Linked DNA regions of Mus musculus: regions 1, 2 and 3 are each reported to be linked to region 4. The links are microRNA targets in miRTarBase. Many come from high-throughput screens and were not tested one by one. Region 4 holds a microRNA gene; each other region holds the end of a gene's coding sequence. Distances are between the middles of the regions.

The links. Region 4 holds the annotated microRNA mmu-miR-30e-5p (UGUAAACAUCCUUGACUGGAAG, at 2,400-2,421, shown strand). A microRNA usually pairs through its seed, bases 2 to 8, with sites in the 3' UTR of a target mRNA and lowers its output. Matches are read on the target gene's strand: a 7mer-m8 pairs with bases 2 to 8, a 7mer-A1 pairs with bases 2 to 7 and ends in A, and an 8mer does both.
Region 1: miRTarBase lists Homer2 as a target of mmu-miR-30e-5p. The part of its 3' UTR that is shown has no 7-base or 8-base seed match.
Region 2: the mRNA of Neto2 is a reported target of mmu-miR-30e-5p. Seed matches in the 3' UTR shown: 8mer at 665-672.
Region 3: the mRNA of Chd7 is a reported target of mmu-miR-30e-5p. Seed matches in the 3' UTR shown: 8mer at 727-734 and 7mer-A1 at 1,518-1,524.

The regions. Positions count from the first base shown.
Region 1 is chr7:81,606,641-81,610,706 of GRCm38, forward strand. It overlaps Homer2 (homer scaffolding protein 2), which reads right to left. Exons shown (of 9, transcript NM_001164086.1): 9 at 1-3,801. The coding sequence ends at 3,613. It overlaps Gm44570 (a long non-coding RNA gene), which reads left to right and starts at 3,486. Exons shown (of 2, transcript XR_001778192.1): 1 at 3,486-3,913.
Region 2 is chr8:85,637,235-85,641,300 of GRCm38, forward strand. Neto2 (neuropilin (NRP) and tolloid (TLL)-like 2) reads right to left here. Exons shown (of 9, transcript NM_001357288.1): 9 at 1-3,882. The coding sequence ends at 3,302. Among named protein-coding and RNA genes, the nearest start is that of Mir8109, 62 kb to the right of the region's middle.
Region 3 is chr4:8,865,986-8,870,051 of GRCm38, forward strand. Chd7 (chromodomain helicase DNA binding protein 7) reads left to right here. Exons shown (of 38, transcript NM_001277149.1): 38 at 1-2,464. The coding sequence ends at 670. Among named protein-coding and RNA genes, the nearest start is that of Gm46842, 43 kb to the right of the region's middle.
Region 4 is chr4:120,771,013-120,775,080 of GRCm38, reverse strand. Mir30e (microRNA 30e) reads left to right here and starts at 2,384; the gene lies at 2,384-2,475. Nfyc (nuclear transcription factor-Y gamma) reads left to right here. Exons shown (of 10, transcript NM_008692.4): 5 at 1,314-1,409. It overlaps Mir30f (microRNA 30f), which reads right to left and starts at 2,475; the gene lies at 2,384-2,475.

The DNA of each region.
Region 1 (4,066 bases), not on the chromosome of region 4:
GCAAGCAGGCTGGAGAGCAGCTAGTTCCCTCTGTGGACAGCCAGGCATGCATGCAAACTGCTCTAGGCACTGGATGAGTCTGCACCTCCCCAACTGTGGCTCGTCTGTTCTGTTCCTGTTTATGTCTCTGCCATCAAAGGCCTCCTCCCCTCTTTAAAAACGTGAGTGGACCTTCATTAAAGTCATCAGCAAAGAATTCAAAGCCAGACAGTGTTCCACCAAACTGGCCTCACCAAGCACAGAGATCATTGAAGAGATCCCTACAGAGCAGAATCATTCAAAGGAAACAGACTTTACTGTGTATGGTGGACAGTTCTGCCGTGTCCCTGTCGGCTATTCCTTGCTGTGGACACACACTCCAATTAATATAGTTGCAACATGCTTTTAGTAGGGCAGAGGAGTATTTATTTCTTCTTGGCACCTAAGGGACACCAAAGGGAGAGTGACAATATGGCTCATAGGAGAGCAGCGGATCAAGGTCCAGGAGACCCAAGAGCCCACGCTGCTGGCCACAGCTGGGTTACTCTGGGCTACTCTGCCTCCACTTCCTGTTGATAATCTCTGCCAAGTTCTCTCACCCAATTAAGGTCTAAAGTGACAGCTCTTGGGGAGAAGCAATGGAAGGAGATGATCAGAGGTCAAGCACGGGCTGTTTCTTCTCTCCCAATCCTTCCTTCCAGCGGTCTCTCATTCCTAGGCACCACCCTACCCCAGCTCATGTCAGAAATGCATGCGGATCACGGCTAAAGGGCTCTGAGGTTTTCTTGGCCTCTTTTAGGTTCCATGTGGATGGCTGCAGAATGCAAGCTAAGCAAGGTGCAGACTGCTAGTCTCAGAGATGCCAAGGCCAGAGCTCATCTGACTCCAGGCTCTGCAGGCAGCACTCTGTGGCCGTAATTGCTGGGGGAAAACAGCTCACACCATCTGTATGGGATTTGAGGCCACGACAACAGTCCTAAGACTGGGCTGGACATCAGAAAAAATGGAGGTATGTCCCACTAGTGTGAGTGGATACGGAACAATTTTAGTGGGTCGTTTGCGCCGTACAGAGTCTGCCTTTTACAGTGCCAGAGGCTACAGACAGGGCTAGCCTACTGTTGACCTTCCAGGCCATTCCTGGGCCATGACTGTTCTTAAAAAGAAAGAAAATGAAGAATCATGATGTCTTTAGAGGAAGCAGATGAAAGGGAGGTTCCGTGCTTGCTTGGGGCTTTAGCTGTGGAGCCTAAATCACTCTTCAGGGGCGTCCTAGTGTCTTAGGATCATGGGTTGTGACAGTTTGGGGGCTGCTTGAATCCAAGAGTACAAAAACTATTTCCCCCACCTACTGGCTATTAGAAACTTGCTAACCCCCCCACGCCCCCAGTGCTAACAACAGGGGTCATGGGTCTCAACCTTACAGCCAGCCCACTGGGCTCATAACTTCTAGAACTTTCTACACTTCCAGTTCAGTAGCCTTAGCAAGTGTCCTCATATGGTCATGTCACCAGATCATACTCCAGCCAGCCGAGAGCGCTCCTTCTACCTGATAATGGAAGCTCATCTGAAGCCTGAGCTGACAGCCCCAGTGTCCACTGCTCTTGGGAGCCATGTGTCCAGGCTGTTGGTAGGCAAAGGGGCTGGGGTGGCCTAAGAAGAATTCCCCTTAGCCCATGCTGGGCCATAGCTAACCCAGTCTATGTTCTCTTGGTGCACCAGTAGCAGCTGCTACTGACTTGAGAACTATTGGGAGCTGTGGGGAACGGCAGCACCCTGGCTGAATTACATCAGAGGTGACCACTCTGTTGTATAAAGCATCCCAAATTGATGGGGTCACCCCCTAACAGAACTCAGCCTTCCACATCACCAGCCTTCCTTCCTTTTTTTTTGTCCCGATCGAATTCCTTGCTCAGAGTGACTCATCAGCCACTGCAAGGAAAGATGAGGACTTGGAAGTCGCCACAGGGCCTGGGTCTTAAACGTGCCGACCCTAGCCCTGTCCTCAGGCTGTTTTCTCATTCAAGAGGAAGAATTTCTGATCCCATGTGGATACATCTAGAGGGTTCTCAGATGGGTAGGGAACCAACGTTTCCCTTGCTCAAGGCATTCTGAAGTGTTGGGGGTCAGGGTTAACAAACCTTGCCTCCTGTGTGCAAACTCTCCTAAAGAGGAATGCCTGTGGACCTGAAAGTCCAATGGTTCCTTTAAGAAGTTCTCTGTGAGCAGAGAGCTTTTTGGCTGCAGGCCCTTCCTTAGCAGGAACTGGGAAAGGGAAGGCAGACCTGGGAGGAGCATCTCTGTCTCTAAGGCTAAGCTGCCACCTGAGGGGCTCTCATCCTCATGGCGTGAAGGATGGCTTTGTATTGTTCAAACCTATTACAGGAAGCCCAGCCTGTCTTCTAAGCCCAGGCTAGCTCCTATACAATGCTCTCCTGGTATCCAGAAAGTCTCCAACTCCAGGCCCTCTGCCTGGAAGAGAAGGAAGGTCCCACAGGCAATGTCCTCCAGGATCGTGGCTGGGGTCCCTGCAGGAGGGCCTCAGAGTAGTCTATGATGATTACATTGCCACAGTCTGTGCCTCAGAGCCAAGTCTAGGTTTGAGAACAGCAAACTGCATTCATTTCTGAGAATTATTTCAGCACAACAAAGATGATGTGTTATTCAACAAGGGTCTGAACTCTGCTGTGTGGTTTGATTAAAACACTAAGTTCTGCTTATATGTTTAATTGAACGAATGTTTATTAAGCACCTATTAAGTGCCCAGACTCCGCTAGACACCCTCCCTGCATTCTGTTCCCACAGCTTAAGCATCTGCTCTGAAATCAGAAACAAAAACAAACAAAACAAAAAACAAACAAACAAACAAGAACATTGCTGCAATCACAATAAATCAGGGGAGGATGGGTCTTAGCAGGAACTAGTCATTCCCTGTCAGTACGCACACCCCAAAACTTCTGGTTTATCTTCCCTCTAGAGAGGTCTCCACTAAATGTTTCCTTTCAAGTAGGTATGTCTGACCTACAGCCCAAAGGTCACAGGCAGCCAAGGGTAACCGTGAATGTGCTCCAACCCAAAATAGTGTATTTACTTAAAACTTTTTTTTTTTTTTTACAATTATTTCTTTTTGAGTAAGTCAGTTGTGCAGTTTTTGAGTGTGAACTTTGTGGTTGACAATGTCATGTCACATCTGCTAAAGCAACAAAATGCATACTGGGAAAAGATGCTCCCTCCACATGCCCGTGGTCTAGAACCTGCTGGAGAGTCACATACACTGAATGCCACGCAGCAGAAGGCACCCGAGGGCCTGCTGTAAAGGATAATGGTACTTGGATTAGAAAATACTCCCCCATCCCCGGTTCATAGGGTTACAACAGCCCTTAAGGGAAGATCTAAACATCCCTGCCCTGACTGCGTAAACGGCTAAGGTAGACCAAGTTCTGGATTCCTGAGTCAGAAGCTTCCAGCTGTCCATGACCTCACAAAGCCAGAGAAGCGAGAGATTTCCTATTCTGGAGGAGTGAGCGGACGGCACAATTGGTCTGGAGACAGACAGATCGCACCTGCATTTACAGAAGCAAATGGAGAATGTCCTACGTCTACCACACCTCTCACACACACTTGCTCCGCCCCGCCCTAGTTATCTGTGCCTAACTTGGAGAGTCCTCTACGGAAGTCATGGAGGTCGTCGATCTTTCCATCCAGCACCTCAAGGAAGCTCTTCAGCTCCCCCTTCAGGTGGCGCTGTCGGTATTTACTCTCCTCGATGTCTGTCTTTAGAGACCGCACTTTGTCTTCCAAGTTTTGATTGTCTCTTTCGGCCGCCTGATGAGACAAAAGGGAGAAGGATCTAGAAGGCAGTGACGGATGGAACCATCATGAAAACGGCTGAACCCTGACAAACGCTCACCACTCAAGTCAGAAAGGGGGCCACCTGGTACTTTCCCTAGAGAAGGATTAGAAGGTCTGAGCACCCCAGAAATGCAGAATGCAGAGTCCTGCACAAGGGGGCTTCACAGAAGTTCCAAAAGAGAACCAGAAATCGGAGGCCCCGTCCTTTCGTTTATATCCTACCAAAGCCAGGACAGAC
Region 2 (4,066 bases), not on the chromosome of region 4:
TATTCTGCAGGTGCCAAGGAAGTCTGGTAACAAAACTGATGGGATAACAGTGTTATATAAATTAAAAAGGGAGGGTGAAACCCCCTTTGTATACAAAATTACAGCATTACATTTTAAGTAAGCATAACTAACAAGTTTTGCATGGAACATCTAGGCTGATGTTTGGAATTATGTGACTTTTAAAAGCTAAGCAGGGAGAGAAGAAGCCAAGGAAGGTTACTGGGCTAGGAGGATGGAGCCATGGGGAGCTACTTCACCATCAGGGTTTTGTCTTCTCATTGACAAAACTAGACTAGATCATCTCTCTTGGATCTTTAAACAGAACAAAATAAAGTTCCTTCTGTCCACAATCAATGTGATTCAGGCACATTTCTCTTAACACTTGTAGTAAATAAAAGTGGGCATATGGCAGACATCATTTTGCAACAAAGTGTAATCTCTGAATGTTAATTATTCCTGGAACTACAAGCAGCCTTTTCTCATCTTAGCTGATATGTTCCTGACCCAAGCAAGTACCATCATTAGGTAGTATCCAAAGTATAGAAATGTTCAGTGCAGACTGCAGTTCCTTAATGCTTAGCAATGATACAAAACGCATGTAGGAGAGTGACAAAGACTCTCCTAAAGCAAAGCTAAGGGAGCCTTTCAGATCCATGATGTGAAATGTAAACATCCTTTGGTTTTTGTTCAATATTTATATTGATAACTCTCTTCTGCAAACAAATAACAGTTTATTCCCATGTCTTTGAGACAGTGGGATGTGTAGGTTGCAGTCTGTGGCTACTTGGGAGCTGACAGCTTGTAGTGAACTTGGGATGAACGACAGCAATGTGTTGGTATCATATAGTTTGTACTTAGTACTTTCTTGCACTGGAGATTTTTACTATCCTCTGGCTTTGCATTTTTCACTGAAGGGTGTGTTTAACACAGGTACTTTGTAGGGTATAATAACTCACATAAGACAGCTTAACTTCATATTTGTTACTGCTTAAGTTTATGGCTTTCACTTTAGCCTCTGAATATAAGTGTTTTCTACTGTGAAAAGGATCAACTTTCTAGTTAGAGAATTTAGAACCAAATGATCACCCGAGTTTCTCTTGCTGATGCATGAGATCATGCAAATTTACATGGTTGGAATGTTCAGTATTTTGTACAAACAACTGTTTTGTAAATCCCTTCAAATTCCTTTAAAATAGAATAGTGTTAAAAATAAAAATACACCTACAAGTGATCATGATGTATGAAGGCATACTATAAACTATAATCTTAAAATTAATGATGAATATGACAACTATTTTTATAGTGGATATAATTTATAAAATTGTTAATTTTTATTTCACTATGGTATCATAGCTATCAATTTAAGTATTTACTATGGTGTTGGAGTGGTGGCTGGTCTAAGTCACATAATAAAATGCTTATAGTTACTGAAAGAACATTTAATTTTTCTCTGGATAGTTCAGTGATTACTATGTTTTGAGATTCCTTTTACTTTTCCAAGTTCTATTTTACAAAGCAGGAACATCTACTGACTTAAAAAATTAAGTCATGCTTATGCCAAGGGTAAGTTTTCCCAATATTCTTGATATAATTTCCTTTTTAAAAATAAAAAAAATGTCATACAGAAAACACACTTTGGTCAGAAAGTACATCACACTAAAGGTCAAAGTTTTTAGTAATCTGAGAAATCAGATTTATGTAGTACTTAAAAAAATAAATGAAATCTAGTGAAACCTCAACTTTTCATTCATTGGAAATTTAGTTCAATATAGAAAATGAGAATTTACTTCTTTAAAATGGCATTATCTCTATTGGTTATCATTAAATATATGAATTCTTCCTCATCTATATCTTATTCAAAGGATTCCTGCTATAAATAATATAATTGAAGGATCATGAATTAATGTATACTCTAATATAAGATTTCTGTTGTGATTTAGAACAATAAATACCACACAGTGAAAAACTTATTACCAACTAACACAGCAGCAAAAGAAAGAAAAATGTATGTACATATCACCATGAGCAAGGTCTTTATAATAAATTACAGTACAGTCCCATCACAGTATTCTTCTATATAAAGTCACTACTGTGAAGACTTAAAGAAATTGTCTTGTATGTCTTAAATCTTGATCTAATAAAGTTTATACAATATCAAATAATATCAAAAGTCTAAAAAAACACAATGAGTTTTGATACCGTGTTTATAAATTATTGTTTTATATACTTTAAAAAACATAAGGTTAAAAGTGCAGCTTAAAAAAAAAGTTGAAATTGCTCTTCTCGATAATGGGTAGAAAAATGCACTGTTTCAAGCAGAAGCTATGTAAAGGCTAACACAGTTTCTCTGAGAATTTCTTTAAGCTTCCACCAACCATGGCCATGTCCAAGACAAACCAATACCAAGAGAACAAAGAAATCGTTTTGAAAGATGATAGGGAATAAGATCTGAGAAGCTCTGCATGGAGCCATAATTAAAGGTCTGCTCACAGGTGAGTTCTAGGACCCTGATTACTGTCACTGAATTGAGACCCAGTGGGGAAAACTTCAGAGGTTGCTACAAGTTTTTAATCTTTCTCAAAATTCTGTTCATGTGTATCTGGTAATAATATACCCTAGGATTCTTACTTTTTTAGTATAACTAAGATGAAACATGATTAAAGGTGATAAGTCCTACTTCCCATAGAAAAGCAGAACTAAAGATGCAGTTATTAAAGACAACAGTGTAGAAATCAGTCAGGAAGAAATGAAATATGACTGCATCTTAAACTGCCACTTATTACAGTACTAGCCGTATTACACTCATTTAGGAGCAAATGCATGGCCATGCTGAATTGAGTGACATATTATCCCCGTCTGCAGGAAACTGAAATGGTAAAACCACAGGCAAAGAAAACATAACAGAAAAAAGAAGGACAAAAGGAATATAAAGAAAAAACTTTTAAATTTACTGTGAGATCAAGTTGATGGGGCTGTGCAGACACGCACAGTGCCTGGTGTTCACAGCACCGGGCTGCTCTGCCTGACTTAACATGCATGACCTGCTCCTCAGCTGCTATTGCACTGGTGGTGTTTTACAGGTTAAGATACCAGCAACAGATGATGCCTTCTTTCCACTGAATACATTTAAGTTTCTTAGTTGGTTTCACATATATAGATTGCCTGAGATAATAAAATCATCAGCATTATGATAAGTTATGAAGGGCTTTCTAAATTTGATAGAACAAGATTGGATGCGGAGATAGAATGAGTGTTGGTGTAGGCTGCATACACACTTAACAATAATGCCTTTAGTCAGCAATTAAAAGTCGATGGATATGGATGCTTGTGCAGAATCGTCTCGCCCTCTGACATAAATTTCACAGGGAATCTCCTCCATCACTCTGTCCTCTAGAGCCTGTTCAGGGCACTCATGAGCTTGTTTGAAAGTGTAGCTGCTTTTTTTGAAGGTGCTATTAAATGTTTTCATTGGCTGTGGTTGTGCAAAATCATTTCGGAAGGGAAGTTCCATGGAACTGAGGTTGGTCCTGCTTTGTTTCACACTGGATGCTTGTGATCCACAGTGGTGGTCGTGAATGCACCGGGAGGCCGTGGAGGAGCGCCGCAACTTCTGGTAGTTGTCAAGTTCTTCTGACAAATCTGCCAGATCTGCAGAAATCTCTTTCTCTCTTAGTGAAAATAGTTCATAATGAGGAGGATCAAATACTTCCTGGAACCCAGTTTTATTAAATGCAGTTTTGCAAGCCATAACCTTTTTCCGGGGCTGTTTCACTTGTACTAAAATAGAAATAATGAGAAGGACCAAGACAATTCCTGATGTAATGCCAATAATTGTCCCATGAGTTTTAGTGATTTGTTCAAATAGTCCAGCTTTTTTCTTTTCTGTAAGAAAGAAATGTTGAGGTTTTTTTTTTTTTTTTTTTTTTTTTTCCCCAAAATTCACTTATAGGAGTTCCAATATAGATTGGCTAGTTATTTTTAGACGAAATAGGAGATTTGGGTCAAATATACCAGACCCTAAAAACCTGGTTTTTAAACAAATAGAAAATATTATTCCCATGATTTC
Region 3 (4,066 bases), 110 Mb from region 4:
CCCTCCAGGACTGGCCACAGCTGCCACCGCCGGAGGCGATGCGAAGAGCCCCGCCGCAGTGCTGCCCCTGATGCTGCCAGGGATGGCGGGCCTGCCCAACGTGTTCGGCTTGGGCGGGCTGCTGAACAACCCTCTCTCAGCTGCTACTGGAAACACCACTACTGCTTCAAGTCAAGGAGAGCCAGAGGATGGCACTTCCAAAGCGGAAGAGAAAGGAAACGACAATGAAGACGAGAACCGAGACTCTGAGAAAAGCACAGACACCGTTTCGGCTGCTGACTCCGCGAACGGATCTGTTGGTGCTGCTACTGCCCCGGCTGCGTTACCCTCCAACCCGCTGGCCTTCAACCCTTTCCTCCTGTCCACCATGGCCCCAGGCCTCTTCTACCCATCCATGTTTCTACCTCCAGGACTGGGGGGATTGACACTGCCTGGCTTCCCAGCACTGGCGGGACTCCAAAACGCCGTGGGTACCAGCGAAGAAAAGGCTGCTGACAAGGCCGAGGGAGGGCCCTGTAAAGACGGAGAGACCCTGGAGGGCAGCGATGCCGAGGAGAACCTGGACAAGACTGTAGAGTCCTCCATCTTGGAAGACGAGGTTGCACAGGGTGAAGAGCTGGACTCCCTCGAAGGCGGGGATGAGATAGAAAACACCGGAAACGACGAGTAACAGCAGCAGCAGTTCCACTGAAAGTGTTGAAAACTGTTGACAGGTGGTAGTCCTACTGTTTACACTCACAGTTAATGTTCATACCTAGTTTTATAAGCTGTTCTGTAACATAGTGTAGCAAAAAAAGAAGAGAAAAAAAAAAGAAAAGAAAGAAAAAAAAAAGGAAAAAAGTCCAAGTCATGTTATGCAGGTGTGTCCGAAGGTATCTTGGTCATAAGTATTGTGCAGTGCATTATTTATTATCCCTAGGAAGGATGAAATTTGAGAGGTGATCATGTCTTTTTAAGGAAACTTACATAATGCTCTGCTTTTTTCTTTGGGTACCACTGGTATTATAATAAAGAGCAATCTGTAACAGAGCGGCACTAGTGGAAGGAAGTGCTACTCAGAGGACGTATGAAGTTATATATTTAATTTTTTAATTTTAATTTTTTTTGCTGTGAAGGTCAAGATGAAATTTACCATACATATCATCCCTTGTTCATTCGTCTCCCTTTCTGACTTTATGGGGGTTCCCACATTTGCATACACACATCCATACACTCTGACAATCTCCACGTTAGTGTGAACGCCTCTGTCCCGAGGCTCAGCAATAATCAGGCAGCTGTTGAATGTGAAGGGTCCCTTTGGAAAACTAACCTTCTGGGAGGGTTCTTGCCAGACAACTGCAGTTCCATTGGCTTGTGGTCTTGTGATGCACTGGTAAAAACTAAATAAATAGAAGAGTAAATAGAAGATTGAGAGAAGTGAGAATCAGGTACCTTTTTTTTTTTTTTAAATTAAAGGACTTTGTTACTTTAGCCACAAAGCTAAAACAGCATTACCTCAGCTCTGAACTAGCCTTGAAGTTTACAGACAGGACTTTGTAAATGTTTTTCTTTGTTGTGATGTCCTTTGATTTTTTTTTTCTCTGAAAACTGCTATCATGTAAGATAAAATGTAAATTTCTGCCAACTGTAGTAATGATGCTTTTAATAAAAGTGACCCATGATATGCAGAGATGTAGTTATAGAATGCAGTGTACAGGGGAGCTGGTGTCCACTTTTTTTTTTTTTTTTAATTCGTAATAGCTGCAAATACAGCATTCTGGCATTCGGACTTTGCTTACCGTGTCTTCTCATGCTAGATTAGCTGTTAGTAACACACACTAGTTGTCTCCAAGACCAGATGGACAGGAAAACCTTGAATTACCACCTTCATGTAATTCCACGCCAGATATCTCAGCAGACACATACACACACACAAACCTCTTATTGCTCCCCTGAAAGGGCATCTGAGAGTAGGGCTCCTGAAAATGTGTGCAGCCTGTGATAATGGGGCACACAGTAGACAAAAGGGCAGAAGAAAAATGAGGCTTTAATAGGCACACTATCTAGGTCATTTATCCTTGGATAATGGGAAAAAAACACAATGTCGTAGTGTCAGCAAGGGACACAAAGGCATTCTGGTGTCCTGCAGACCAGAGCTTGATATCAAGAGCCAGTGTGTGGAAAAACCCACGTGGAACTAAAATGGACCCATTTAAGTGTGTGTGTGTGTGTGTGTGTGCGCACGCATGCGTGCACATTCACGAGCATGAACTCACATTCACCCAGTCTCAAGGACTACTAGATTATTAAATCCTTTATTTGTTTTCTACAATAAGGTTTAAATTATAAGACCTTTTTCTATGTCATTTCAGCAAACCCTATTTCCATCTAAGAAAGGAGTGATATACATGGAATTGTGCTTGTCTTTTACCTTCCCATACCCCCTTTACACACCAGTACATACCAGTGCACACACAGGTTATCCTCTACAGGGGACAGGCCAGCCTATCTAAATTCCTTTTGGACAGTGAGATTCCAGCTGACTTGTGTATCCAAGATGAAAATATGCCTATATGACTGGAAGAGGAGAAACTTGAAGCCACAAGAGTGGCAAAATCTTGAAGGCTAACCAGCCTGTGCTCGGTTAAGCAAGTGCCTTCTGAAATGGCCTCCTTTGACCATGGAAGTGAAGCTAGATCTGCGGGGAGCAGAGACCTTAAATGTTTAACGGAAACGCTTGAGTAGGGAGAGCTGGTTCAATAAACTGCATTACCAAAGGGTCTCTTCCTAAAATTCTGTTTACTGGAAAGTTCCTTGTCAGCTTCTGTGAACAGGGATGAGTGTGACTCTGTCCCTGACAGCACTGAGTGTCTCGAGTGATGCTGATCTTCAAAGCAGAGGTGTCTGTTGCTTGGCAGCAGTAAGAACTCTGAACTTAGAAATCAGCACCCGTTTTGTATTACACGAAGTCATTTAGAGTTCCACATTGGAAAATACATGTTTTCTTTCTTCCAATGGAAAGAAGTCATGACATCCTGAATCTATCTAAAAAATATTTACGATTCGGCCTAATGCTAACCAGTGTTTCCCGTGCTGTAAATGAGGCACCAGAGCACCAGTACTGTGTGATGCTTAATTCCACGAGGGAAGCCGAGAAACGGAAAGTAAGTGGCTCACACTGCATTGGAGGATGTGTGAACCGTGGTCCAACCGGCCCTCCTGAAGGACTGCATTGGTTTTCAAAAGAAAAATTATATGTGTGTGTGTGGGGGGGTGATCCAAAGTTTTTGGTGTTACTGTGTTTTATATATTCCTCTTCATAATTGCATAGTGTAGTTGAGGCTGAAACTTGAAAGAAGTGCTTTTTTTTTTTTTTAGTTTCTTTTTGGGGCAAGGTCTCTATGCAGCCTAGGCTGACCATATATTCACTTTCCTGCCTCTGCCTCCCAAATGCTGAGGTCATAGGTGTTGTGTTAGAAGTGTGGCTTCAGACAGACCACACCAGGCCAAACAGTTCCACGTGGTTTATGGTAGGAGAAAAGGGCAAAGGTGGCTGTGAAGGAGATGGGTGGGGGAGGGGAAGAGGGAGAGAGAGGTCAGAGGGGTCTGCCTTTTATTTAAATGGAGACCTAGTGGTGGGAAGTGAGCCAAATGGATTCTGGGAATATGGTGGTGGTTGTCTTGGCAACAGGTGTGTAGGTCACTGTTGCCTAGGTGTGATGTCACTGGGTCTGGAGCTGACCATGACACCAGCATACCACCCTTTTTATCATAGAAGAAAAGGGGGGAGGGGCAGGGGAAGCCAAGGAATTAAAGGGTATGGGGAGCCAGTCCTGATCCCGTAATAGGAGTGTGTTGTTACACAGGGAAGGAAGCCTGTGAAATTAGATCTGGAAACTGGAAATTTTCAGTCCCAGTTTGTGTGTTTGAATTTGAGTTTATGATGTGCCCCCCTCTCCCCCCCCCCCCCCCAGTATTTCTAGTGTATAAAGAAACCAAGTTCTTTGAAAAGATGAACTTGGTCCTGATAGACCCTGGTGTTGGAACCAAGCTTGGCCGGTACTCTAAGCCCAGACCCTTAACCGCT
Region 4 (4,068 bases):
GTTTAGTTTTTCCCCAAATTCTGCTGTTAAAGTTTTACTTTAGCAGGCCACAGGATAACTAACCAGGGCTATACAGAGAAACCATGTCTTGAAAAACAAACAAATTGGGCTGGTGAGATGGCTCAGCAGTTAAGAGCACTGACTGCTCTTCTGGATGTTGAGTTCAAATCCCAACAACCACATGGTGGCTCACAACCATCCATAATGAGAAACAGATAATAATACTTTTAAAAAACAAAAAACAAAAACAACAAAAAAACCTATGGACTGGAGTGAGTGGGTCCCGGGAGCAAGTGGGGCCCAGGAGCAAGAGGAAGAAGGGAAGGGGGGAAATGAATGAATGAATGAATGAATGAATGAATAAATAAATAAAGTAAGAAAAACAAATTTATCATACCTCTCACTTCAGCCATAAAGTGATCTATTTTTAAATACATTTCAAAAATTACTTTCCCATATATACTTAACTATATCACTCACTTGAGCTTAGTGGTTTTGTTTTTGTTTTTTTAACCTTAAAACTTTCAATAAAGTACACAAATCATATGGGAGAAAAAGTGTTGATTTTTATTATTCAAAGGAAGGGGAATAATATCAGACTTGAAGAGAAAGTCCACTTGTGACATTCTTTTCAGCTCTGTGTTCACTACCTACCTATAGTAAATTCAGGCTTGAGTATTCAGGCTCAAATTCGGATTAAACTATTCATTAAGCAGTGCAGTTTTGATTTCTAAACTAAAACCCATAGGTAACATAAAAATCAAGCGACTGGATTATAAGTGCCTGTAAAAAGAAAAACAACAACAACAACAACAAACAGTGCTTAGGGCCTTTAAAAAGATCATACAAGTGAATGATGGGCTGACCTTGTGGACCACAGAATGCCAGTTGAGACTGCTGGCTTTGTCCTGAATTAGCCAGAGGATGGTGGTTTTACAACTTTATGGAAGCTTTGAAACCAGAACAAGCAGAAATAGTGGTGAGTAGGGCTCAGATGTCCTGGCCTAGAGCACGAGATATGTGTATCTCTTTCGTTGATTTCTGTCCAGCAAGTCTGATATAAATTGAGCTGTTCTTATTTTTAGCTCTAGACAAACCTAGAGATTTTTAGTACAGTCTAAAAGTCATCTCCTTGGGCTGGGGCATAGCTCAATGGTAGAATACCTGTCTAGCTTGTGTAAAGCTCTAGGTTTAATCCCAGACACTGGGACTAGGGGATAGGAGAGGATCATGTCCTTTTACTTGAAGGATAACAGCCAAAAGAACTAGATTCTTCCTAGGCCAGTTTTTAACTTTGTTTTTCTTTGTTACAGAGGAATGATATTGCCATGGCAATTACAAAATTTGATCAGTTCGACTTTCTCATCGATATTGTTCCAAGAGATGAACTGAAACCTCCAAAGCGCCAGGTGAGCTGGGAGGATTTGCTCAGCTGCCACCTCCAGGGCCTGGGCAAGATGCTCTCCGGAGCTCCTCCCTCCCTCCCACCCAAAGCATTTCTTGTTTGTGGTTCTCTTCCGTAGTCCAGATCATCCTCAGCATCTCCTTCTACTCATTTATGGGTACTTTTAACTCAGTGCCTCTGGGGTGGGGTTGCAGTGAGAGAACAAAGTTAAAAAGACTAGTCACAGATAGTGGGGTGAAGCTCAGTTCAGGATTTCTTCATCTAAAATAAAAGCTTTTTCAGCCAGTCAGTTTTCAGATTCTAAGAAACAACCTCTTTGTGCATAGTGATCAGATTGGAGCCAGTGGCTTTTATTTTCTTACTCTATGCTGTGTCTCTGTAGTGTGATGACTCTACCCATCATCCACTGAGTCAGAACCTATGACCCCATGACCCCAGGAATCAATAATTAAAGTTCCCTAGATGCTTTGGTGTCCAGTGAAGTTTTAGAACCACCATTTACATTTTTCTTTTTAATTACAAGAACTAAGTGTCTGCCCTTCTTCTGCCTGTTCATCTCCAAAGATCACACCATTTGTTTTGTTCAGCACTTGGGTGCATATAACTTAGTTGTGATTGTGATAGACCCCAGTCCTATAGAGCTCATTGTTTCAGGCACGCAGTTTGCATGATTCACTAGGTTTAGTGTAATATGCCTCAGAGAAGTAAAGCCATACCATGTCCTGCTTGTTTTATTTTTGTTCATAAAATATAAGTGTTTTTAACTAATTATTTTGTAGTATACTGTTTAGAGTCATTTAATGACAACCATTCTCCCCATGTTGACCTGTACAAATAACCAGTCAGAAAACCTGTTGGAGAAGTGGGCATCCTAATTGACATTAATTCTGACCCTGCATGAGGGTTTTTGGGTTAGCAAGCCCTGGGTCACCTCCTTATGGGAGCAGGTTGTGCCTCACTGAAGCTCTTTATTTTTCTGGGCAGTCTTTGCTACTGTAAACATCCTTGACTGGAAGCTGTAAGGTGTTGAGAGGAGCTTTCAGTCGGATGTTTACAGCGGCAGGCTGCCACAGTCGTCCCCGGCTGCGCTCATCGGCTTTGAGACATTGCAGGTTTGTGCCCATGAACTTGTCTCCTTTTCTTGGGTTACTTCCTTTCTCTCTGAGAAGTCACAAGAACTCAGACTGTCTCTCTTCGTTTGGAGCTGATAATACCATGAGCCTGTTTTCCTTATTGGATTTTTGCTCCCATGTATCCACCAGGAGTTTCCTTTAAAGACAAGGTGGTAAGATCTGTGATGCAGTCAGGCATTGCTCTTATTGTACTGATTGTTCACTATGGGCTGCCTGCTGAATAGATGACTAAAGAGAAAGTTATTATCCTATACCAGTGGTTCTCAGCCTTCCTAATGCTGCACCATTTAATACAGTTCCTCATGTTGTAATAACCTCCCAACAATAAAATTTTTTTCATTGCTATTTCATAACTGTAATTTGCTACTGTTATGAATTTTAATGCAACTATCTGTTTTTCAGTAGTCTTAGGTGATCCATGTGAAAGGATCTTTCCATCCCACAAAGGGGTCACAACCCACAGGTTGAGAGCTGCTGACCTATACCTTCCTCCAAAGTTGTTTGTTCTTCTGGGTCTGTCAGGGTGTTAGATTTGCTGGTGGTCTACCCCATCTCCCTCTTTTGTTCTTTGGTTTGGTTTGGATTTTTGAGATAGGCTCTCCCTGTGTATCCCTGGCTAGACTAGACTGTGTAGACCAGGTTGTTCTGGAACTCGGAGAGATCTATCTGCTTCTGCCTCCTGAGTGCTGGGATTCAAGGCATGGACCACTATACTTAGTCCATCTCCCTTTAAAAGGTATACAGCAAGAACACTCCTTTAGCTGCCTGGTTTTAGTTCTTTGTAGGTGTTTGAGCTATTGATTGGCATCCTATTCAGGACAGCTGCTGCCTGGCATTTAAAAGGTTGAGATTGCTGAAAGCTGGCCTGAAATTCTAAGATAGCATTTTTTAATTCTCTGTAGACATGAAGTTTTCCCAAGCTCCAAATTGGCTGGCACCTCCTAAAGTCCTTTAAAAGTGCCTACTCTCCAAAACACACCCTCTGAAGGAGGCAGCAGTTCACCCTGCCACTAAAGCAAATGTATTTTTTCCCCTAGTCTGGAGCTGGCTGCTCATCAGTGTAGTGATGACCCTGTGCTGTGATACTGTTTGTTCACTGTCACTGTTTTTCAGTCTCAGCACTGGAGAAGCCACTGTTAGTGTGGAGCAGGTACCCTTCTGTACTGAGTGTTAGCATGGAGCAGGTACCTTTCTGTACTGACCTATTCGGTCAGGTGTTTTCCTAGGGCTTGGTGCTGATCCATCTGGAAAGGGAGACACTGGATTATGAGGCTTCTCAGAGATGATTTGGAGTCTCCCTCTCTCTTTTTTGCCATGGAAGTAAGTAGATTGTCTGCAAGTAGATGGTAGTTGAGGGTTGACTTCTCCCCGACTAAGCTATGAGTTGAAAGTTCCTTGCTCATTGAAATGTCATTATCTTTTCACCCATTTCTTTAAATCAAGCATCATCATTTCCTGCTGGCTTGATCTCCATTTGCAGAATGAGTGCTTCATAAAGCAGAAGAACCTTACTTGTGCCTCCTTCCATCA